Linked DNA regions of Arabidopsis thaliana. The protein of the gene in region 2 interacts with the protein of the main gene of each other region in a biochemical or structural test. Each region holds a gene or a part of one and is shown on either strand. Other genes may lie near its edges.

Evidence for each region.
Region 1: the proteins of PYL4 (region 2) and ABI2 form a complex in vitro, tested with the Arabidopsis thaliana proteins (one study listed by BioGRID).

The regions. Positions count from the first base shown.
Region 1 is NC_003076.8:23,080,640-23,093,981, reverse strand, and holds ABI2 (Protein phosphatase 2C family protein), read right to left. Parts: upstream 6,861-13,342; 5' UTR 6,263-6,860; coding exon 5,750-6,262; intron 5,668-5,749; coding exon 5,371-5,667; intron 5,225-5,370; coding exon 5,119-5,224; coding exon of another isoform or gene 5,096-5,118; exon of another isoform or gene 5,035-5,095; coding exon 4,679-5,034; 3' UTR 4,354-4,678; downstream 1-4,353. Other genes in the region: AT5G57060 (60S ribosomal L18a-like protein), read right to left, coding at 2,186-2,248, 2,370-2,487, 2,569-2,683, 2,874-3,018; AT5G57040 (Lactoylglutathione lyase / glyoxalase I family protein), read left to right, coding at 8,866-8,916, 9,181-9,346, 9,480-9,767, 9,859-9,947; AT5G57035 (U-box domain-containing protein kinase family protein), read right to left, coding at 10,163-10,378, 10,459-11,208, 11,293-11,721, 11,822-11,923, 12,005-12,309, 12,416-12,531, 12,617-12,732, 12,822-12,943 and 1 more. UniProt on the Arabidopsis thaliana protein: Repressor of the abscisic acid (ABA) signaling pathway that regulates numerous ABA responses, such as stomatal closure, osmotic water permeability of the plasma membrane (Pos), high light stress, response to glucose, seed germination and inhibition of vegetative growth.
Region 2 is NC_003071.7:16,042,981-16,055,292, forward strand, and holds PYL4 (PYR1-like 4), read left to right. Parts: upstream 1-6,937; 5' UTR 6,938-7,270; coding exon 7,271-7,894; 3' UTR 7,895-8,376; downstream 8,377-12,312. Other genes in the region: AT2G38300 (myb-like HTH transcriptional regulator family protein), read right to left, coding at 1,195-1,756, 1,878-1,989, 2,077-2,113, 2,237-2,313, 2,465-2,699. UniProt on the Arabidopsis thaliana protein: Receptor for abscisic acid (ABA) required for ABA-mediated responses such as stomatal closure and germination inhibition. Inhibits the activity of group-A protein phosphatases type 2C (PP2Cs) when activated by ABA. Can be activated by both (-)-ABA and (+)-ABA.

The DNA.
Region 1 (13,342 bases), on a different chromosome or scaffold from region 2:
GGTCATGCGTAGCAATAGCATTATAGATCTTATATGCACCATAAATTCTTCATTACTTGCCACAACATTGTCACATTCGATAAGTGGAAGGAGCAAAAGAGTTGAATTAAAAAACTATCACTTGATAAAAAAAGGTGAAAAAGGAAAAGGGGACCAGCATCCAATCCCAACCCTTTAAACTCATCTTTAATTTCTCATAAACACTTTTAACATTTTTGTAGTTTAGTACATTATGAATATTTCAAATTAAAAGTGTTAGTTAAAAACACTTTTCAACCTAATAATACTTGTAAGCGAATTAATGAATATATAAACCCTGATTTTTGGGTTCTGTAACGTTCCACCTTATCGTTAATGTGTTGTACACTCGGCCACCACCATTTCCCAATTTATTTTCATACTATTATTATTTTTGGAAACAAACAATTAAATGCTTAATAAAAGCTGGGATCATACGTTTTTGATAACCAGAAAGAGATCAAAACTTATACTAAAATATACGTAAATTTTATTTTTTTTGTAAATTATTTACTTAATATCTTGACGTTAAGACAAACCCAAAAATTTAAAATATAAAAAATTATGGTAACAACTAACAAGTTAACATGTTATGAGAAGAAAAAAACAATCTAACAAATGCTTGAAAATATAGAATTTGATAGTCCTAAAATTATGGCCCTCGCCACCAGCTTTTCTGTCTGTGAAAAAGAAATATTATTAATATTTTGAAATTTTGGCTCTAAACTTTCATATTCAGTGTCCCACTATTAAACCTAAAGACCAAAGAAAGAAAAGTAAGCATTAACTAAAATCATACTTATAAAACTATTAACCAAAGGAAAGGAGGATAGCGATTTACGTATAAAGAAAACATTATGGCTTATAATATAAGAGAAAATCGGTTTCGAGAGATCACACAAGGTTTTCTAATATCTCATAAATTAATGAATCTGCAGGTGATTTACGTAGGCAGGTAAAAGTTAGTGAAAGAAAAAGTGATTATCAAAAAAGTATTTTGTCCAACCAAAAATTTGCTGAGCCATCGAATCAATAGTTTCCATAGTAGATCAACATTATTTATGGTTCATACATGTGACAAATCCACCAAACATTGAACAGTCTTTTTCTCAAGACTCAAAACTTAGAAAATTGTAAGTATCTTTATCAAAAGAGACCGTGATCAGCTTCAACATATAGAGTTGTAATTTACTGATAGTTGCATATTGAAAATCATGTAACACAAACAACCCTTGAATTAATACAAGATTTTAAAGAAGCCACCCCTTATACTATTGCTAATTGAGTAATTGTCCGAGTGTTAAATTAGTAACTCAATTGGTTACAGTGATATTGTCTTAGCTAGCTACCTGATTCAAACTCAAATTTTTGTTGCTAAATGCAGTTTTAAGAAATGTTTTATAGCAAACAAAGAATGATGATTAAAATAATTGGACACAGATGGACATAAATCTGGAGTTTAGGTACAGATACCTGTATATTGGTCTGGAAACGAGCCAAAATAGGAAAATAAAATATATAATTATGAAAGTTAAAAATAAAAATAAAAAGAAGAAGAGAAAGAGACAGGCTGGGAAAAGAGAGACGCTAGATGAATCGGAAGTATCGTCTAAGTTTCTTCAGACAGCCTGTCTGTCTCCCACACGTGCGATTTATACCACATGATCCAATCGTATTACATGTCGTCTTATTGTAGTAATTGATTAGTACTATAAAATCAACAATTAAAGCTCTTAATGATTCGATTATTACTTGGAAGAGATCCACAAATTTGTCCTGGCATTAACCAATTGGAAGCTTTTAGCGATTGAGAATAATCGAATCAATCAAACTTCTCTTTTGTTGATAAGTACAAAAGATACACGAACCTACCGTACCTCTCTCTATCATTGGAAACATCATACTCCGTTTTTACATTTTGAGAGTTGCACATCATGCCGTCTTGAAGATTTTATGGATATATAAAACGGCTTGTAGTTTGGTCCACCTTAGTAAGGGACTGAAAAACTTTCATTCAACAAAAAAAATATACAACTTGAGAAAAATATCGAAGTGAAATTCATTTGGTTTATGTGAATGTACATGAGACATCAAGTTCCGAGACTATTCCTTGATGAACACGGAGCTTATAGGTATGAATGATAGTTAACATAGTTACTTCTTTATCTCAAGGATAGTAAAACCACCGGAAAGCAAAAATCACGAGTAAGACAAGAGAGAAGCCCATCGCCTGCAACAATTTAAGATCGAATTCATTGTTATTTCGTTTAATCAAGAACAACATTGTTAGACTACAAAAGCTATCTCTAAGAGTAATATGCATACACATAGAATCGTATGAAAGCACTTACAGTGATTGCGGAAGCAGCAAGACCGGCTCTTTCTCTAGGATCTTTACGATAATAGTTCCCGAAATAAAGGAATGCAGCATAGTACCACAAAAATGGGAACATAAATCCTAGGAGGAAGCTGTTAAAGGCAAAATGAAGATTAAATCAGGATTGGTCTTAAAACAGATAACATGGGATTAATAGGAGAACAAGTACTCACGAAAACCATCCGATTCCACAACCAAAGCATGGAAGAGGTTTGTCATATGCTCCTGTTTCCATGTCGTCTACATCTTTTACAAGTGTATATCTTTTTTTCCCACGAGCCATAGCATCTACCAAAAAACAGAGACAGTGTCTTTTACTTAGTTCACAGTGATAAGAAGGTGTTGACATGAATGCTTCATCTTTCACATCTTACGTTTAATATATTCGATGGTGAGAATCAGAATTTCTGAACTTGTATACATGACAAGACTAGGTGCATAGGCGGTAATAGTTTGTAAAACAGGTTGTGGTACTAACCTTTAATTGCGGAATAATGTCGAGAGGCTTGTTTCATGAGTTTGGCATGCCTATCAGCAATGAATTTAACCAGCTCGGTTCTACCGTTTCCAGATACAAATTTAGAATCTGCAATGAAACAGATACAATATTTACTTGCACACATATCCAAGAAGGTTCAAAGCAACACATATATATATGTGTATATCCTCCTTTTAAAAACTTTGTAGTACATTTCCAACACTTTCACTCAAACAAAATCATGAAAAATGAAAATGGACAGGAGAGAAACAACGTCGTCTAGTGATCTCATCTAAGTCATCTCAATCTCAACTAGGACAAAACAAATTCACAACTCAACTCTGTAACTAGATATAAATGGAACTCTGTGACTCAATATTCTAGTAAAATTAACCTCAAAGCTCATAGTTGAAGAGTCAAGAGAGATAATTACTTTCGTCCATGCTTTAAGCTATTGCTTATGACCCAGATCTTCAATTTCCCTGCAATCATAATAAAAACATCAGAATTTCACAAGCAGTAATCAAAGACTAGAGATACATTTCAATCAACACAAGACCAACAATACAAAGTGTGATTCGAAAACCCTAGCAGCAACTAACCAAAACTCACACTATAAATTTCAAATCCCCATCAAATCAATCAGCAACCGCGAAAACTTCAAACTCGAGATACGACTCGTCTCTTTAACAAAAATTGAATGTTTTGAGCTCAGTTGTCTACAGGATTAGCTTTACAAATAAATCAATTCGTCGATCCATCGTTTCATTAAATACCGGAAATTGCTCGGAAAAAAAAACAAAGATCGCAGAGAGAGCTCACCGAAGATAAGAGAATCTAGTGCAAGATTTTTCGAAATGAATCTGGCGATTAAACGAAATCTGAATCTGATAATTCAGACAAAAATCGTGTCGTCTCCTCTTTTTCTTCTTCAGTGTTCAACTTCGTCGGCGCTTTAAATGCGTATAAAGCTGAAGAAGAAGAAATTGAAACTCTTGAGAAAGTAAAAAACACTCTTTTACTAACCAACGCTTACTTCTTTCCTTTTTTATGAAATAAGAATAATAAAACAATGTTATTCGAAGAGATTAAATTTTTCACAAGACTAATTTTATTTATATTCTTTCACATTTAAATATGATATTTACCTTTTTGTGTAATTGTTGAATAATGTTGATGTGATAAAAAGATGATTTTTCTTGGGGATAAAAGCTGCCTTACACACCACTTTACAATTAACTTGTGATATAAGTATGTATTATTTTGTCTTCAATCACCTACAATCTAAACATTCACATGGATTTACAAATTATTGTGACGTTTATTCAACCATCCCATATTCTGGTTGGTTTAGTAGATTTAAACAAAATGAAAAAATTATGGTGATGAAGACTAATGTAATTTTTGGTAATGAAAAAATGATGTCAATACTATTGAAACTATATCACTCTAACGAAAACACACACACAAAGAGAAGTTATGAAACATCAAATAATAACACTAAATATTTACGTAGACGAATGTAGTGTTATTACAACTAACCCCAAGATAAAAAAAAATACAAGGGGGCTTTTTGTTTGGAAGTTACACTATTCCCATGTACATTATATATATCATGTTAGTAAAATAAATATAAAAAGATTAAATAATGGTGGGAAGACTAAGAAAGTAAATAACAAATTTAAGCAGGAAATTAATATTACAATGTAATTATTACCTGTTGTTTTATCTTTCTTTTTTCACTAAAGAGAATTTTTACCCACCATCAAAACTTTTTTTTTCACTTTTCTTCCAAACCTTCTTTTTCAATTCAAGGATTTGCTCTTGAATTTCCTTATTCCCTTCAAATCAACCACTACCACACTTATATTGTCTTTGCTTCCTTTTTGCAAAGCCATCTTCGACAAATACTCTGCCGCGGACATTGCTGCAGGATCTTTTCCTTCTCCTCTTTTCTCCGCCGGAAGCAAAGCCTCTCCGGCCATCGCGTTCTTCTTATGCCATAGTAAAATCCGTTTCCGAGCCAAATCGCACACTTCTTCGTTTGTCATTACATCCCAAAGACCATCACTTGCTAAGATGAGACAATCATCTTCTTTTACTCGCCGCACTGAAGTCACTTCTGGATCCGGAATTACTGACGGTTTAAGGTATCTATCGCCTGTTCGCGACGGGTTGTAATGTAAGGAAACAACTAAAAGAACCAAATTCATGGATCATTATCAAGAGAAAGTTAAATAATTACCAATGGATCTTGACATTGCGAGAACACCAAATACACGAGCCCCGTTCCACCGGATTACTTTCCCACCGGCAGCTTCTATCCTCGCCGCTTCATCATCCCTATCCGGCTACACATAAATGTAGACCCAAACGCTATAAGTACATTAACTAATCTATAGAAACATGCTATGATTGGTAACACCATAACAAAAAACCGCAAGTCCTAATGAATATATGATTGTACTAATTCATTCATAGAAACATCTATACTTACTTTGTGATCAACCGACAACGCGAGTGGCGTTTTGCCGCGACACAAAACCGCCCTAGAGTCGCCGCAATTCGCGACAAAGATGTGAGTCGGAAAGACAACCGCAACCACCGAGGTAGACCCAACAGTTTCCGGAGCATGAGCCACAGTTTCAATCTCCGAGTCAACTCTCATAAAAGAGTTGAACAAAGCCTTCTTCCACTTCTCTTGCCACGTGTCACCGTCACAAAACTCCGGTTTCTCCTTCACTATCTCCTCCGTCAAAGCCAGATGCATCCTCTCACGACAATAATTCGCTACCTAAACACACAAAAACAAATGTCAAAAACCAAGTTTTTGCAGTTTCCGATCATATCATATCGAAACCAAATCGATTCATTACCTGAGAACCGCCATGGCCATCGTAAACACCAAAGAAATGAGCACTCAAGTGAGGATTAAATCCATTAGTGACTCGACCATCAAGCAACGAACTAGAAGAAACTTGAAGGAATCTAGGAATCGTTGAGACAGAATCTTCCATCTCTGGTCGTCTACCACAAATCGAAGTCACTCCATATAAAGGAACACACTTGAACTCAAACAGACTTCTACTCTCTGTTCTACTAAGTACTTTCTTCTCACTCTGATTCATCGATCTCGGATCAAACTCATCTGAACCGTTGATTTCATCTCCGGCGGAGATATCCACACCTGCCATAGCAGATGATGATGATGTCAATGAATCTTGTCTTGTATTGATCTCAAAGGAAGAATCTTTCATAGCTCCGTCGCCAGAACAAGAACTTTCCGGTAAAGTAACCCTAGATTCACCGTTGCAATAGCCTCTAAGTCCGGCGTGAGGGTCAGTGAATGGTCTGAATGGAACAGCGACTGCAGGAGAAACTTCGTCCATTAAAGGAGGAAAAAAAAAGAAAAAAGAACTTTCTTGAACTTTAACAAAAACCCAAATCAGGAATCAAAGTTGGGAAGAGAAAGGAGAGAAATTGAAGTTGGATATCTAAGTATTCAAAGAGACAGATGTTAGATTGTTAAAACGCTTGGGTGTAAGAGAAAAGAACGAAAAGTCAGACAGATTTGAACATAATAAAAATTGATGAGAGTGTTGTTAACTTTATTAGATGAAGATGAAGACAAGAAACTCATGACTCATTAGAGGAAAGTGAAGACAACCTTAGCTAGCACATGAAACAGATAGAGAGAGATTTGTCAATTAAAGAACCAAACACACACAAAAAAGAAAAAGCAAACGTTTTCCCGAGGAAAAAAGGACTAAAATCAGAGTTTCCTGGATTCTGGGCAATTCGTTTCAGCCATTTAGAGATTCTGAACTCTCTCTCTCCCTCAATTAATTTCCAACCAAAAAAACTTTTTTTTCTCTTTCTTTCTCACAAACAAATAGTTTAGGGGATAATCAGTTTTAAAGAGAGAGGTCTTTATTTATTAAAAAAAATAGCACAATGTGAGATGTTTTAGTGAACAACAAAGTAATTAGAAAGACTTAAGGAATTGTGGAAACAAAAACAAAGGGTATTTATTTTATTTTGACTTGATTAAATTTTATTTCTTATTCTATTTACTATCGTGTCACCCCTCCATTATTATTGGGTATCTTTATAGAAGTTTTGAATACAGATGTTTTATACGTTTCCTATTTTACCAAAATATCTTGCATTAAACGTTATGAAATTAGATTTAAGATAAATCCAAACTTTTTACATAATGAGTAATTTACTTATTTCACATAAAAATAATATCTCTTAGGAATTGCTCTTTTCTTTTGAGCTTTAATCAAAATTGGTCGACAAAAAACGTAATTTACTTATTTTATACAAAAACAAATTTCTTTTATTTTATTTTTTGTTTAGTGTAACATGCCATATGTCACAAAAATATATTTTATAGTAAAAGATGAAAACACCAAAAAATATACAAATTATGATACAATTTTTATTAGTTTAGTAGAAAATATATTCATCTACACTGACCACACTAGTACATTAATGCTACTAATAAAAATGAGGTACTATAATAATTACAAAATTTACTGACTAGAGAGCTTGCTCTGATATTTTTGGTTCTAGAGTTCAAAATAAAATAATGACAATCGGGTGGATACCAAAAACAGAAAGGAGGAGAATCAAACTCGAGAAGGCAAGAAGTGTTGTGTTGTCAACAGATGATTCTTTTTACTTCCAAAACAATATTGAAGAAAAAAACAATATTGAAGAAAAATAAAATCATTTTCGAAATAACAATCAAATGGGTCCCATTATTGTCGGAAAACAGACCGGATGATCGCCACGTAGACAGAGAGAAAGTCATTAGATTTGGTGAAGAGGATGGCGTGTACGGTGAGAGATCTGTTAGTTGGGATGGCGGGAAAAGATGAGCCGAAGAGGTTCATTGCACTGACATAGACAACACCTCTCTTTTAACTTCCGTAAATATCTTTGTGTTTCCTTTTTTATTTGGTGTCTGTTTTATTTATTTACTTGTTTTTAAACAAAAATAATAATACGTGTTCCATAATCATTGGACCATGTAATGATATGTGAAGTGAAAGTAGCTTTGGTTGGGCAACAAATACACTGAACCAATCGTATAGTTATATAACTAAAAACGTATATATGAATTTCTGTTTTTATTTATTTATTTACGATTTCATGAATATTTTTTATTCACTGGATATGAGTCATGTGACCTTGATTTTATTTTTATTTTTGAGATATACGTAGATAGATAGACGCATGCAATTTCTTTAAAGTTAATTCATTTTTTTTAGGATCTCTCGCAGCTGTCAGATAAAGTAAAATATCTTTCGATATAAAATAAAAAACAAAACCAGCTCATATTGTATAGTATACTATGTGTCACATATTTTGAGATGATCAGTTGCTACACGGATCTGTTAAAACTTAAAAGGTAGTATTGAATAAAGTGGCGGTCACATAGAAGTACAACTAATATCTATTTGTTAAATTTTGTCAATATGATATCAAATACAAAATGATAATAAGAAAATTATATAAAATTAGACCATATTCTTAAATTTTTATACATAAAGCTAAAACATCTAAACTTCATTACAAGGTAAGAGAAATTTGACGAATCTGGAAGTTATTACTGAGTTATTTTCGCTCGAAATAGTAAGTTACCAACTTACCATTTTTGTGAAGCTGCAAAAATAGTGAGACGTGAATCACCTATTGGACTGGGCTAGGCCCATCGATTCTCTGATAAACTTTCATTAAATAAACGTTTGACTTTTGCCACCACACCGCATGTTTGATTTTTTGTTGTCGTTGAAACAATTATATTTTTCGAGACAATACGAAATTGATTTTCCCAGTGATTATGTGGCTGAGTGGCTCAGGTTTTGTTTTTCTCCTTAATTTTCTTGGCCAATAAAGAAAATAAAAAACATGAAATCATTACTTTAAAGACAAAAAAAAACTCTTGCTCCTGTGTTGAGAGCCTAATCCAAGATTCTCTTCCATGGCTTCTATTTTCAGACCTTCTTCAGCTTCACTTGATTTACGACCAAAGGTATCAAACAAATAAGCTTCTTTATTCACTCCTAGCGTTAGGTTACTCGATTTCCAGAAATTGTTGTTTAGGGTTCTTACCTTTTGGATGATCTTGAGATAGTCCTAGACGCTAATCTTGTAAATTTGGCAATTAAGGGCTTCTTTTCTTTAGTTTTCAAGTAATTGAGTTAAAAGGAGAAATTAGGATTGTGAGTATCATTCAAAATCGATTACTTTACCTTGGATTGATCATTGATGATGAATCTTTTTTGGTATTTGGAAGGTTATTTGCACGAATCTCTCTACGAAAGAGCGGTTTGAGTTTCAGAAGAAGAGTGTGAGGAAAGAAAGGATCAATGTTAGGTTTTATAGCTTGAAGGCTAAGGCACAAGGATCGTCAATTGAAGGGATTAGTGTTGTACAAGAGAAAGAGCTTAACAACAAAACCGGTAATTAACTGATAATAAGTAATTGTGTTGATTGTCTGCTGGTTAGTGGTTACAACATTTTAAGCAAATGTCACCATTTATCTATAGACACTAAGCTCGGATTACCAGTTTTGATTGTTGATTGTTATTGTAGATTATGGAGTTGTTGGGGTTCATCATGTCGGTCTGCTCTGCGAGAACCTAGAACGGTCACTCGAGTTTTACCAGAACATTTTAGGCCTTGAGATCAACGAAGCAAGGCCTCACGACAAGCTTCCATATAGAGGAGCATGGTTATGGGTAGGTTCAGAAATGATTCATCTTATGGAGCTTCCAAATCCAGATCCATTAACAGGTAGACCCGAGCACGGAGGCCGGGATCGACACGCTTGTATTGCAATCCGTGATGTTTCAAATCTGAAAGAGATCTTAGACAAAGCTGGTAGTTTATATTTTTTTATTCTTTCTTCTTAGTTTCTTTTGGCTTAAAGGATGTTTCCTTTCGTTCTGAAGAAGATTTTTTGATTTTGTAGGAATTGCATATACAATGAGTAAGTCAGGGAGGCCAGCGATATTTACTCGTGATCCAGACGCAAACGCTCTTGAGTTCACCCAAGTTTGATTTGAGTCTATTTGTAGATGAATCCTCTAAACTTTCACTTGATTATCAGTTGTAAATGCTCTTCATATAGAACTGCAAAAAGCAAACCAAATCCTTGTTGACTTATTATATAATACCACAATACATATTCACAGAGATGATACACCCGATTCAAACAAGTTCAGGGTATTTAGTCAATATACGAATTAGACTAGACTGTATATATATTAGTGTGATCAGTAGGAGCCAAGAGTAGTGGAGAGGTCTAAGCGTGAACGAGATCGCCACTCTCGTATAGCCGATCTGAGAGTGTGGTTCGGTGTAAGATCAGAATGTTTGAGCCGATGCTTAGTAACAGGAGACACATCTTGATGTTTTTGAATCCATTCTTTTATCGCTTTTCGTTCGTATGTGAATCCATCTGCTGCTATTTGTGGATCTTCCATTATTTCCTACAATCAACCAGAATCAAACATTTTAAAACCTGAGCCATCGAGAATTGTGGTTGGTGTGCATCGGTTATTCGATTTACCTTAAGAATTGGACAGTAATAGTGAGTTGGTGCTCGTGCGTTAGCTTGTTCTGTCTTGAGTCTACTATTTGCAGATTCAAGAATACGTTTGAGAGCAGGCAAGACTTGTGTGCTAAGATCTGGTCTGTCTCTGCATTTGAGCTGCGAACACCTGATTGCAATGCGAGCTAGTTCTTTCGCTTCGGCTATGGGCCAGTCTTTGACTGATCCATCTAACATATCTTCAAAACAGCCTCTCTTTACTGCATCTTCAACGCAGAAAAGAAGACCGTTGGGATGTCGAGCGGTTAAAAGCTGGAGAATTATGATTCCAAATGCGTAAAGATCTGATTTCGGTCTGATTGTGCCGGTTCGTTGGTATTCCGGGTCCATGTAGTAGAGTGTACCGGCGATAATCGAGTTTCTGTAAACCGTCACACTGTCTGGTGCTTCGTCTGACATGAGTTTTGCGAGTCCAACGTCACCGATTTTGCTGACAAAGTTTCTGTCTAAGAGAATGTTGCCTGGTTTGAGGTCACGGTGGACGATGGGCTCAGGCTTAGAGTTGTGGAGGAAAGCTAAACCACAAGCTGTTTCATAGATGATTCGGAATCTGATAAACCATGAGAGAGATGGTTTCCCTTTTTTGGGAGAGATGTGACAATCTAAGCTACCATTTTCCATGTACTCATAGACAAGGCATCCATTTTCAGGACAAGCACCAAGGAGAAGAACCACATGGGGATGACGAAGCTGGCTTAAGACTGAGATCTGCAAAGTAAAATAGTTGATTTCAGATCTCAGAGTGTTAAAGGCTGCTGTTGTTATTAGGCCATGAGACTACTAGTAATTTACCTCTTTCAAGAATTCCTCTTTCTTTTCAACAGAATCAGGTTTGAGAACTTTAAGAGCTACTGGGGTATGATCAAGACTGCATTTGTATACTTTTCCATATCCTCCTTCGCCGATTATTTTACGGGAAGAGAAATTATCTGTAGCTGCAGCTATTTCTTCTTTTGTGTACTTTCTGTATCGCCCGTCTCTCAAGAAGAGTTGCTCAATGACTTTCTGTTTCTCTATGGACTGTTTGAGAGCATCTAGCTCGGCTAATTGCCTCTCGCAGAACTCTTTGGCTAGCATTGATTTTGCTTCCTCGACTTCTTTTACAGCTTTTAGATGCTTTTCTTTCTCTTCTGCTGCTGCTTTCCTTCGCATTTCTTCTTTTTCCAGAGCAGTGATGACCCTTTCTGTTTCTTTGATACACTCAGAGGAAAGAGACTGGACCTGAGGTCACAACATGGGATTGAGTTTATGAATCCATAAGATGTAAAAACATTAGGAAAGGATTTCGAGAACAAAAAAAGTTTTCTTCTAGAACTCCAACCTGTGTTTGTTTATGAACTAGCTCTTCACAAGCTTGTTTGTACATGGAAAGAGTGGTTTGCACTTCTTTCCTTAGCTGCTCTACCTCAGCTCTTACACCTGACTGCAAAAACAGATCTTGGATCAAAATCATATGCATTTTGTGTCACAGAGAATCAAAATGGTCATATATTAAATGCTTCACCTTTGGTGTTTTTAAGTGAGGTCTAGGATCCATCTGTATTTTACTAGTGGAAACAGTACTATGCCTAAGGATAGAACGACAGTGTTCGTCATCGACCAAAACAATATCAGTTGAAGAAGACTGTGCATCAGAATACACTCGAGAGGTCGGATGACTATGCGGTAAAGAGCCAGGCCTTCCAATTCTCATCCTGCCTGAAGATGTTATAGATGAAGCAGACAACCCTGTCTTATCAGAGCGTGTGCGACTGAAAGATTCTGTATAAGCTTCAGCTCCTTCTGGTATACGGAAACTAGATGATGAATCTGTTGAAAATTTCACACAGAAACAAAAACCACAGGGGAAATCAATAAAACTTGTATTTTTTTCCTTCTTGACTTCAGATTTTAGATCAATGCAATTGAAACATACCTGCGGTAAACTGATTCGTCGATTTGGTTAAGATTCTATCTTTACAAACAACATATATCTCACATGTCTCTGGAGCTTCTCCTAGCACCGTTAATGGCATTTCTTGTCCTTTTTTCCTGTCAAAACCAATCCAAACGTCTAAGCAAGATCATACCATATACAAACACATACTAGATATCAAATCCCATTATGTAACATTACCTTGTGAGGAAATTAGAAGAGCAAGAGCCAATCACTAAACACTCAACATCAGTATCTGACATATACTTCAAAAGAGCCTTTGCAGGATCATGATGTTCCAACAACAAAGTCTCAACCTAAACATTTAACCAGTAAAATTATTCCATAAGCCTTCTCCAAAACTTCCAAAATCAGTATCATAAATTTAGCTTTCACAGAAACTCACTTTGTTGGATTTGCAGATCCTCTTAAACGGAACAAAAACTTGTTCAAATTCTTTTCTCAAATCTCGTTTATACATAGACACAACACTCTCATCCAATTCCTCTATTGGAATCTTCGATCCAGCTTTTAAATCAAACAAAAACTAGTGTTAAATTTTCATGAATCTCGAAATTGATTTAACAAAAAAATTCGAATCGAGACTTACAAGGAGATGGAATAGTAGTAACTGTAGGCATGACATGAACAAGAACTAATCTATCGATTTTAGGAAGGAAATTTTCGATTGTCCAACGAAGAGCACGACGACTAGCAGTTCCTCCTACGGCGTCACCGACGGATCCTTTAACAGCGACGGATACTGAAGAATACGACGGAGCTCCGCCGATTAATTCGAAGAATTTGTTCGTCATCACCACCATGAAAATGAAACTTGTTGCTCTTTTTCTCAGATGGATTTTGTGAGGAAATGGGTTTTGGAGAAGAAGACCCGCGTTTTTAGTTGACTTGGATAGAAAAAGTGGG
Region 2 (12,312 bases):
TTCTCCAGTAGCAAAATAAAACTGATCGTGCGGCCATGTTTGATAATGAAGTCTGAAGAAGTTGACCAGGTACACACACGCATCGAATGTTTAAGAAGCAAAGATTCCATTTGTTTGTCTAAATATCGAAACAGTATCAGTGTATCCAATCAAACTAACGGAGATCCTAAGTTTCTTGTTTTTTCTTTTTGGAAAATCAAAATTGATACTTGGTCGAACGTAGTATTTGGCACGTCGAATCAAAATTATACAACAGTCTCAACTCTCAACGTTACTATTAACGACGTCATTATCGTATTGACGTATAGGTGCCACCATATTATACAATAAATTATTAGAGATTCAATAAGATTCATGTTCTTAGAATCGACTGATTGAACGAAAATTTTACCGGGAAAATTTTACACAGTTGAAATAAGTTCCCTATCAAATACTATTAAACATTAATTTTTGGTTTGCAACTAATCACATCCTTATACAATAAACATTTCACGAGATAAAATTTTATATAGAATAATGAACTCAAAAGATTTGATGATTTGTGAACTTTTTCTATGTTTTTTTTTGTATTATGATCTTTAACCTCTTTAATATTTACAAAGAACGAGGTGTGTCTTGTTGTTTAAGTATTAATCTTGTTCACATATAGTAAAAACCTCAAAAATAATTGGCTTCGGATTTGCATAGTGTAAAATTGTTTCACTATGTCTCTGAAAAGGGAAAAATGAGTGAAGATGGATTTTGGAAATTATTGAAAACACTACTATTAACTATAACATGTTTTGGAACTACAAAATTGTCCATGTACTGTTCGGATAAATACGAAACCAAAATTTTTGTACTATTTACGTAAAAGTCTCATCTACAAATGAATGAAGCTCACCAGCAGAGATACTCTAATCGATGTAAATTTGTTGTTATATGTATATGTAATTTTCATATAGTATATTGCTATGAGAAGACAAAAGATCGAATCATTATGATGTGGCTAGTAATATTTGTTTATATATGTGATGATACAAATTGGCGGTATCAAACAAACTCAAGACCGTTAATATAATCAAACATTTTTGTTTCCTTTCTAATAATAAAGAAAATACATGATTAATGATAAACAACAACGACACTGAATATTAAGATATCGGTAAGTACCTCAAGATCTCACTTAGAATTTGTCTCATTCTTAAATATAATTCATAGAGTCAGATCCAGAGTACTCTCCTGACCAATCTTAACCGTCCGATCCTCTTCATCTTTCATCAGTCGGCTCTTTTTCCACGAAGACGACCCTGGACATAGCGACAAGGACAACGTTTGATCCGTTGTTGTTGCTGCTGTTTCTGTCTCTTCCAAAATTGTCTTCTCCGGTTGTCTTAGCTTAAGAGATAGATCAAGATCAATGCTCCTACTTGCGTCTCTTTTGCCATTTGTCTTGCTACAATAAGAATGATTAGTGTTCTCCTCAACACCGTTATGGAACTTTTGAAAAGTTCTTGAGTGTCCTTGAATGCTGTTGAATGTGACTGAATTGGTCCGTTCGTGATGATCGTGTCGTAGTTTCGGAAAGTGATTAGAAATTGAAGAAGAGTAGATGTTTTGGAAAGACTTGTTGTTAGTCCAATAATCACTACCACGGATGTTATTGCTAACCGACGCGTTGCGGATTAAACCGGGCCTAATTTGGTCTATCAAACTCCTTTCTGTTCCTTGAGAGCTAGAGTTCCACAAAGAAGCATTTGAAATTTTACTTCCATATCTACCAAAAACAAAAGAAGACAATTAATTTAGTTTCCGAATAAATATAATTAAAACGGAATATCATTCAAATTAAGGAACACATAAAATCTAAAATTTTCAAAAAAAAAAGTTATATCAACCTGAATGGAGAATCATGGTTATGATTATAGCCTCGGAACATCGGTAGCTGACTTAGTTTATAAATATTTCGATCTGTGGAAGTCTCGAAGAGATGTTTGTGACCAGCTATAGCTGCCAACAATTCAAACCCCACTTTATTGGCCTATACATGTATAACTTGATAACTAACTAATGAACACAAATAGAAAGAATCAATACCTTGACCTTGATCATCTATCTTCTTGCTTCTGTACATCTAAAATTTTCCAATACACAATTTAGTGATTTCTTTTTTTTTCTAATTTCAGAGATTATTTGAAACGAAATCGAAAATACAACACATATATAGGTACGTTTTAGATGTATGTAGATCAAATACCTGTAGATGGCTCTTGACATGAGCAATACTAAGCCCTTTGATGTTCATCATCTGACGAACCAACTTTGGAGTTGCTCCTATACATAACCAAACATACACATTAAAAAAAAGAAAATCACATGAGGTTTTGACCAAATAGTTAACCTAAGAATAACTAAGAAATTGCTTATGCTTTTATATATATGTGGAGGAGGTGATGAAAGATGAAGTTAGTAGCTATGGACGTACTTTCTTGACCTCCAAGCCTCTCAACGGCGCGGACAAAGCGAAGATGAAGATCAGGAGTCCACCGGAGTCGAGGGACTTTAGATCTCACATAAGGCCTAACCTTAGTCTTCTTGTCGCTCTCTTCCACTGTACTATTGCTTGAAACCTTACTCTCTTCACCTTCTTCTTCTTCTTCCTCTTCCTCCTCCTCTTCTTCTCTGTTAGTCTTCCCGCCTCCCTCCATACTTGGAATCATTATTACTTCTGATGTTACAAATTCAGAAGAAATATAGAAAGAAAGTGGTAAACGATAGAGAAGTTCTAGGCTTAGCTAGATATAGGTTTTGGACGATATGGATAGATCAATCCTTTGGTTTGATATGAAAGAGATAAAAGACCAGATGAATTCTGCTTAGTTCAAAGCATGGAGATTTTGTCTGTGAACCCTAGATCAAGATACACTTCTGATTCTCTCTCTCTCTCTTCCCGGAACATGTAGACAAACCCTCACCTAAATCTTGTTGCATATGTTAAAAAGTTTTCTTTTCTGTTCACAGCTAATTGATTTCGGCCCTTTTCTACTATAGACAGCTCTATATATAAATAGTTGTATATTTTAATATGTGGATGCATATTAATATCAACCATGGAGGGAGAAAACTATTACTCCTATAAATGAGATAAATTGTTGTTTATACCCTTAACATGCCAACAAATTACAAGTAACACTTATTCTATATTATTGTTCACCAAAGGCTAAGATGAGTGTGATAGAAATTAGGCTCTATATATAGCATATTCTTAGTAGTCTTAGATTGCCTTAGTTCGTCAAACAAACATTTCGATTACAAAGATCGATATAGATAAAATTCATGTATCGGGACTAACAGTCTATGAATGAATTAGTTAGTATAAGTAAGACTATTTACAACAACAACAAAAAAAAAAAAAAAAAAAAAATTAATAATTATAAGAAAATAAGAAAGATATTAGTATAGTTGAGACGTTATTTGAGTTTAGAAGAAAACAAAAAAATGAAGAATTTTAAATTTTTTGATACCGTGATGCAGTTTCCAGGAAAAATAATTAAATACAAAATCGAATTCACAAAATTATAATATACCTCAGAGTAGTTTTGTCGGAATTAGGATCATTGATGATCGAGATCATTGTCTTTTTCTTAAGACATTTGGTTTAAAATTAATGTTAACTAAACTTTCTTTTCCTTCTGTTTTTCTTTTTGTTGCAAAATAATTTTTGATCCTCAACGATTTAAAAGATCCAGTACGTGACATGAATCAATTTATACAAAATATTAATTTATCGAAGTGAACTATACTTGATGGATTTTAAATCCTCTCATTTCTATTGATATAGCGATCAAATTAGTTAGAAAATTTATTTTTAAAATCAACCTTCTAATCTTCTGAGTACTTTTTAGTATTTAGAAAGTGATAAATCACAATACTAACTAATATATTGATTAATGGGTAGATTCATATATATTTATCTTTAAAACTTTTTGATGAGATTATGAGGTTTAGGGTTTTGCGTGGAATTGAATGCTAAAGGCAAAAAATGGAAGAGCGAGAGTGGTAGATAGACGAATAAATTACGATTACAAGGCGTGTGACTGCTCAGCTGTCTTTGATGTAGACCACATCATCACACATACCTCTTTCTTTCTTTCTTTTTCTGTTTTTTGTTCGACGAGAATCACGGGACAATGCTCCTCTCTTACCCCAAAATTATATATTATCTTTATATGTATTTTTGTAGATTCGTATGAGAGAATTAGTTTATGTGTAAAGTGGTCCTTGCTTGGTTTACGTTACACATCCGACCCCGTGAAGCGATGAATAGCGTTGTTAGTTGAGCCGTTTTTTTACATCGTTCGTTCCAAAAATATGTAATATTAACATACATAGTTATAAAATTTGACACCGTATAAATCGAAGTCCTATATGGTTTAATTTTAATTGCAAAGAAAGTCTTTTTAGACGAGTTTATGGTGATTTTTGTAATTACGATTTTAGTCATCGTAAGCCATTGAATACTACCTCTTCCGCATATTTCGACAATTAGTTTGAATATTTACCTTTACCACTTCTATTATGAAAACAATAAGATAAATACATTCTCACGTATATATGCTTATGATATAATATATTTTAGATCCAATTATGCTTTCGAAGTCCTCTTGGAATTCCAAGAAATATGAGCACTCACAAGATCAGTTCTATTAACATGTCTAACAAATTGTACTGTTTTATTTCTACGTAAATTTCAATCATAAGTTTTTGGTGCATCACGAAAACAATATACAATACTGTTTTCCAGTTGTATATATCTACTATAGATTCGGGTACATGCCATCCAATAAAACTTCGTTGCAGAATTAAATGGAGATTATGAGTTCATGAGATTAAACTATAGGCTTAAGTTCATATTTTCCAGTTAGTAAATAAAATTCTGCTAGCCAAACAAAAAAAGTTGTTCCCTACCAAAAAAAACAAAAAAAGTTGTTGAGGAGAGGAAATTGTAAGCTTTGATGAAGTAGAAAAAAGAAGAACTTTGTCATTCCCCCCACGTGTAAAGAGACTTGCCATCGATCCTTCACAAGCTTCTCGTCACCACTCCTTTCTTCTTTACACTTAATTTCCATCTTCCTTCTGCTTCTACACGTCCACATGCAATTTTGCACCGAGAATCCTAATTTGTGTCCTTCATTTTAAAGGTTTAAAAAGCATGTTTATAAAAACATGGAACTGGATGGTTTGTGAGATATGCCATCAAATTAGACAAAAGGGTCCATTAAGCCTGTGAAAAAAAAAGAAAAAAAAAACTAAGAGACGATCATAAGAGTTAGGTGTGACCTGACAAGATTCTTGTACACCCGAACCCGACTTGTGAACTGTGAAGTCAACCTCTAATTAACAGTTATTTTTTATTCCTACAAATACGGATCCAACATTATTCTCAATTAGTTGAAGTAATGTCTGTCTATTTGCACATTTTCAAACCCATAATCAAACAAAAGTTACATATCCTGACCCGCTGACCATATTATACACTCATCTGTGTATATCTCAAATCTCACTTGCAGGTAATTCTCTCTAGTACTTTTATGTAGATATATAGATATTAGTAGAATGTTAGCAAGAAAAGATGTAAAACATATATATCAACTATATTAGAACCCGTCCTTTGTGCGAGTTTTTGATTTTTATGATAATTTTAAGTTAACAAAAACTGAATTAATTTTGCTTTATATATTAAGATGTGTGTGAAGCTCAATACACAATATTAATCTATTCTTATCAAAAAAATTTATATTCAAAATTTACAGCAATTATAAAGAACTAATAGCATTGTATTATGACTTATCATTAAGATGGGGTTTGTGTCCATGTCCGGAGTTGTTAAAGGTTTGAAAACCCAGAGTTATGAATGTAAAGAAACAAGACAGAATGCTTGAAAACAGAGCATCAAGTAAATGTTTTGTGTTTATATTATTATGCAGCTAAAATGGAACCGGTGACGGCATTCCAACTTGGCCAATGGATGTCTAGACTCGCTATATTCTTCAAGGCAGACGACACATTCTTCCCCAACCTCGAAATTGAATTCCTCGACGGCAACAAAAATATATCTTCGAACGTTTTGTTGTGTCTGATCAGCCAACTCCACATCTTTAGGTAAACTCTAATATCCTAGAGAATAATAGAAATCTATAATACTAGTTACAATGTAGAAGAAGAGACAACCTATAACGAAGCTAGATACTATAGCCAACGTAACCAAACCAAACAACAAAAGTATGTTGTGATAGACCAGTTTTTCTTTCCAAAATACGGCCCAATTAAAAGTTTGGTTCTAAAAACAATTTGGGCCTTAGTTTGTATAGTTTAAAATGTGTTTCTTAGTGAGGATTGGTTTTTCATGCCCTTTTGTTTGTGTGCTCCTTTTTTTGTATATTGAAGATCATATCAAAGCAAAAGCAATACAATACTTTTCATTCAAAAAGTTCCTCCTTCTGCTTGTTCATCAAATCTCTCAGGTAATTAAATATATGGTTGTACCACTTTTAGTTTTGTGGTATTCGGCTCTGATGTTGAATACTTCAAATATCTAGATTTGCATCTGATGCAATTGAAAACCTTTTTTTTTTTTGCAATTGAAAACTCATATATATAGTATGGCTAGATATATGCAATTGAAAACTCATATATCTAGCCATACTATGAAATAACAATTGAAGAACTTCTAAGTTGAAAGAATTCTCACTTTGTATGTTTTGATGAATTTGATCTTACATTCCAATCGTTCCAAATATCGAAACTCTTAAAGCGTATTCAATCAAACGAATCTCGTCCTAGATATACCTTGGTCATTTCAAGAAGAAGAGAAAAAAGTTATGGTCAAGAAACTAAAAGTCTAAACCCATATTATAATTCTAGTGTTGATATACGAGAATTATATATTGGTCACTTGCCCAATTAAAAATATCGTGTATAGAAAACAGTCAAGTCAACAACTATAGCAAGGGGCAAAACCGTAATTTCACAACAAGCAACTTGCTCGGTTTTTTCGTTATCACCACTCACATGAACTCTGCATTAAAAACTCTATCTCTCTCAAATCGAAAGGCACAGCCCAACTTTTCGCAAGTCGCTGTAAAGTTTGATTTGCTTCTTTTTATATACACACATACTTCTCCTCCATACACTTTCCTCTTCAATCCTCAGTTTTTTTTCTAAGCCCTAATACCATCTCAAAGAAGAGATCAAGATTTGAAATCAAGAAGACACCATTACTCAGATCAACATGCTTGCCGTTCACCGTCCTTCTTCCGCCGTATCAGACGGAGATTCCGTTCAGATTCCGATGATGATCGCGTCGTTTCAAAAACGTTTTCCTTCTCTCTCACGCGACTCCACGGCCGCTCGTTTTCACACACACGAGGTTGGTCCTAATCAGTGTTGCTCCGCCGTTATTCAAGAGATCTCCGCTCCAATCTCCACCGTTTGGTCCGTCGTACGCCGCTTTGATAACCCACAAGCTTACAAACACTTTCTCAAAAGCTGTAGCGTCATCGGCGGAGACGGCGATAACGTTGGTAGCCTCCGTCAAGTCCACGTCGTCTCTGGTCTCCCCGCCGCTAGCTCCACCGAGAGACTCGATATCCTCGACGACGAACGCCACGTCATCAGCTTCAGCGTTGTTGGTGGTGACCACCGGCTCTCTAACTACCGATCCGTAACGACCCTTCACCCTTCTCCGATCTCCGGGACCGTCGTTGTCGAGTCTTACGTCGTTGATGTTCCTCCAGGCAACACAAAGGAAGAGACTTGTGACTTCGTTGACGTTATCGTACGATGCAATCTTCAATCTCTTGCGAAAATAGCCGAGAATACTGCGGCTGAGAGCAAGAAGAAGATGTCTCTGTGATGAGTCTTTGTCGTTGTCGGGTAGTTTCGTTAGATCCGACGTCGTTTTCTAGATTTTTAGCCGTCGTGTGATCTATGTTTTTTCGGCTTATGTGTGAAAAAAAAGTTACATTAGTGAATTAATCTCTCATGCATATCATAATCCTTCTTTTAATTTTTGTATTTTACATATCCCATAAAGAACCGATTTGGATAGCCCTATTCCGGCTTTCACCACCCAAAGATAATAATATTCAAACTGAAAGAATGTGGTTGTGTTGTCCGCTAATTAAAAGTGTGATTTTCAAGTTTAATTAATCTTGTTTTTCTATAGTTTCATCAGAAAAAGCGTAAATGAAATGGTACAATATGATGTTCGACTCGGATGTATATTAACTCGTTACATTGAGTTGTTGGCCATCTAATGTGTGTAGATAAATTTACGTACGTATAAACAGCTTTTGTGAAATTCGACGATTTTTCTTAAAGGCAACTTTAAATTTGGGCATAATATAATGTGTTCCTTTCCTCTATGATTTAACTAGGTCCTCAAACTTTTTACTTTCTTATTATTTCATAATAATTAAAATAACCGATTGAGCGTGAAGTTGTTATTTAAAAATCAAACATTTGATAGAGAATTCAAGATTTGAAGTTTTTATTTGTCATCATAAACTATTTGGTAGAAAATAGGGAGTAGTTGGGGATTTTCAGGCTTAAAGGTAATTGCGTAAAATGGACAAAACATACATGTATACAAAAATATGAACATGGCCGTCAAAATATAAAAAATAAAAAACGAACATGTTGATGAATTTAAAGAAATAAAAATTTGCAAGTGGACGATGCTTTGAATGATAACCCAACAAGCCAAGCTGTTCTCTTCTTCTTTTTTTTTCCCGCTTGATATAAAGAAAATGCAAGTTGCAATTTTTTTTATCTTTTACTTCCTTTCTTTATGGTTCTTCCCAATCCAAAAGATATAATATTAAATTTCGTATAATAATAAAGAAATATGGAATAGAGAGAAGCGCAAGTTGCATGTCCTTTTACATCACGAGAGTCACGATATGTTTCGTTTCCAAGTGATCTCTTAGAATATAATTATATAAATGTGTTTTTTTCAATATATTCGAGAGGTTTCTACACTTCTATCCACAAAAAGATATGTGATTGATCGACAAAACATGAATCGTATGAAATGAAAGATTTCATTTTCCTTAGATCTAAAACCTTCTACTTCTATGTTTGCAATATCATTATCGAGGTTCACCACTATGGTTACGTAACCATCATCACTACAAAATTTTCAGTCGATAATAGGAATAGCATAAAAATACACAAAATGTTATAACTTTCAATTACTAATTTTTGTGGTCGTCAAATATCGACAAATATAGCATAGCTTTACTAATCATAACTTCATAAGATACATACTTAATGTGGCCACGAAAGGTGTAAAAACAAAAAAAAGGGATGGGAAAGAGTTGGCGGTGCAAGTGGAAGTGGGGTAGCTGCGATTTTTTTGCAAGTTGGGCAAAACATATTAATTGTGATTTACAAATTGATGAATTTTCTTATTTCTCAAAACATAAAAATGAAAGTATATGTGCCTTTGCGATCCATCACGCCACTGTTTCCTATAATTTGATTGGACCTCTGCCCAAATTTCCGATCGTTGGAGAAAAGGAAAATAAAAATAAAAATCGAATATAAGTGTATATGAATATAATTCACAAGTTGCCACATATTAGTATATCGCTTCTTGTTATATAAAGAGGCTTCATGTGATGCTTCTAGACCGAACCACCTACATCGGCGTATGGCCATAATTGTAGTTGGGGTCGGGTTAAGGTAATTTATCATTTGTACTAATTCATAATTCTTTTTATTTTCTGTTATAAATATCATCTGGAAGGTCCAAGGCCATAAGTATTGACGAATTGTTTAAGAATCTTTCCAATAGCCTTTTTAATACATGGCTTTTTTGTATCATGGAGTTGAGTCATCCGTGTTATAGGACTTTTAAAATACCGATTGCAGCATGTTTTCGATGTGAAAAATCTGCATTGGTGTATTTGTTGATTTGTTATAACGCGTAAAGCATGCAATGTATGCTTTTAGATGGTAAGTTAACTTGTAAAAATATCGATCTGCTAATGTTAAGTTGTGTACAAGAAATACTATCCACAAAAGCGTATAGAGACAATCGTACCTAACCTAACACAATGTAACAAAATTTGAAATTAGTTTTGTAACTTAAAATAAACCCCCCAAAAGAAAGGTTTAAAACTTCTTTTTATGGGCCTATAGCATCCGCCTGTATGCCCAACTGGACCCGGTCATTTCTAAGAATCGCAATCCCAACCTACGTGTAATAACTAATAGTATGAATAGTATGAATTTCACGCATGCACGACGCATTTTTATTTTCTTTTACGCCACACACGACACATTAATAAGGTTTAGACAACTTTTTTTGATTCGTGAATGCCTTCTTTGAGAAAGATTGTGTTAACTATGTGTATATCGTTCCAAGGTTATTAGATGTAGTCCAAAATAGATCACATAAGTTATGTATTTGTTTAAGGTTTGCGCACCAATGATATTGTTGCATATCGAACCAGTTGGTGAGCCGGAATGGAACTTAATTCTCATCAACTCCACTATGGTTATATAAAAGAAATTGCATATGTAACTATATGTAAATTAATGGGTGAGATTGTGAGACTCTTAGTGAATTGAGAGAATTTTAGAGAGAGAACAAAATTGTGTTAGAGAAACATATCAACCAAAAAGACATTTGAACCAAAAATACAAGTGACTGGTTTCCATATGTGATAGTCTCCAGTATATGCATCTAAATCAATTATGAACCAAATTCATCATTAAAATGGGCAAAAATGTGTTTGGTCGCGGGAAGACCCGTCTGTCATCCCTATTCTAAACTTTCAATACAATTCGTTAAAAAAAACTTAATTCTAACTAATTCAGAGTAAGATAGTTGAAAACTATACAACAAAAAATATAAGAAAATGATGAATTTCTACAATTAACAAACTAAAACATAAACTATCAAATAGAAATAGATGTATCATGTCATAGAATGAGATAAATGGTTCACTATTTGATTATTGATTTTTTTTTTTTTAACACGACTATTTGGTTATTGATTATGTCAAAAACATTAAAATAATAATTTTATAAAATAATACGATATATAATGTTTTATTAGTTTTATCTATCCCCCTACTATAACAAAAACTTATAGAAATATATAAACATATAGAAGAAGAAAAAAAGACAGAACATATAGAAACAAGAAATAAAATTATACTTTCAAAAACTACGAAGCAAGGAAAATCGAATTTTGAGGTAACTTGAAGGCAACGAATAGTATGAATGTGGAAACGTCAACAACTTAACCTTACGTTTACATATTATATTATTTGACCATCTCTAACCATATTTGGATTATGAAAATCCAAAAGGGCGCTCGCAAATACCATAGTGACCCCCTGTGGCCACACCTTTCTCAGATGTCTATTATGCTTTATGAAGAATGCCAAGGGGGTTTCTCGGTAACACCAAATTAATCGATAGTCGCCTTCACTTGCAAACCAAGAAAGATACGAAACTACACCGAGAAAGTACAATCTTATTTAAATAACCAAAACAAACAACTTAGTTTTGTCTGACCCACTAGGCCACTACTTCTATTCGACAACTTTAAAGTTGACGATACATATACAATTCCTGACTCAACTGAGAACGACAATGTACAATCACACAACGCTGGTCGAACTTAGGAGCCAATAAAACACTTGAGTCGTGACATGAAACACACGGCTACAATACAAACTTCTCTCAATTATTTTTTGTAAAGACCGATTATTTGCTAAGCAAGTCCTAGACAAATATTTACACACAATCGCTATAATATTTAACAAGAGATCACGGTCAGATTAAACTACAGGTCGAATGATTACGGTCAGATTATAGACGCAGCGTCGGATTTCTATCTCATAGAGTCTTGACATAACTTTGTTTCCTAGAGTCACGACCTTATTTCACGTCTATTGGCGAAATAACTTCAATATATCGCATTCACAATGGACATACTTTTTGTTTTTGTTTTTTGTTGGGAGTGAATTTCTTCTTATCCAAGAGCATGTTAATTAATGTTTTAGAGTGACTTTGACGACAATAGTTTCGCAAGAATTAATAATTAATGTTTAGTAACTTAATTTTCCAAAACATTAGAATCCTACTTTGTATATGTTTCAAACAAAGCACAATAAGTATTCAAAGTTAAATCTCAGAGTTCAAATTAAGCCTTTAAGATTTTGTCTTGAATAATTAGCTTACCTCTCTAATCATTAATCAACTTAGGAAAAATATTATTTTTCAAGTAGTGGGCAATTGCTTGGCAAACTGTCA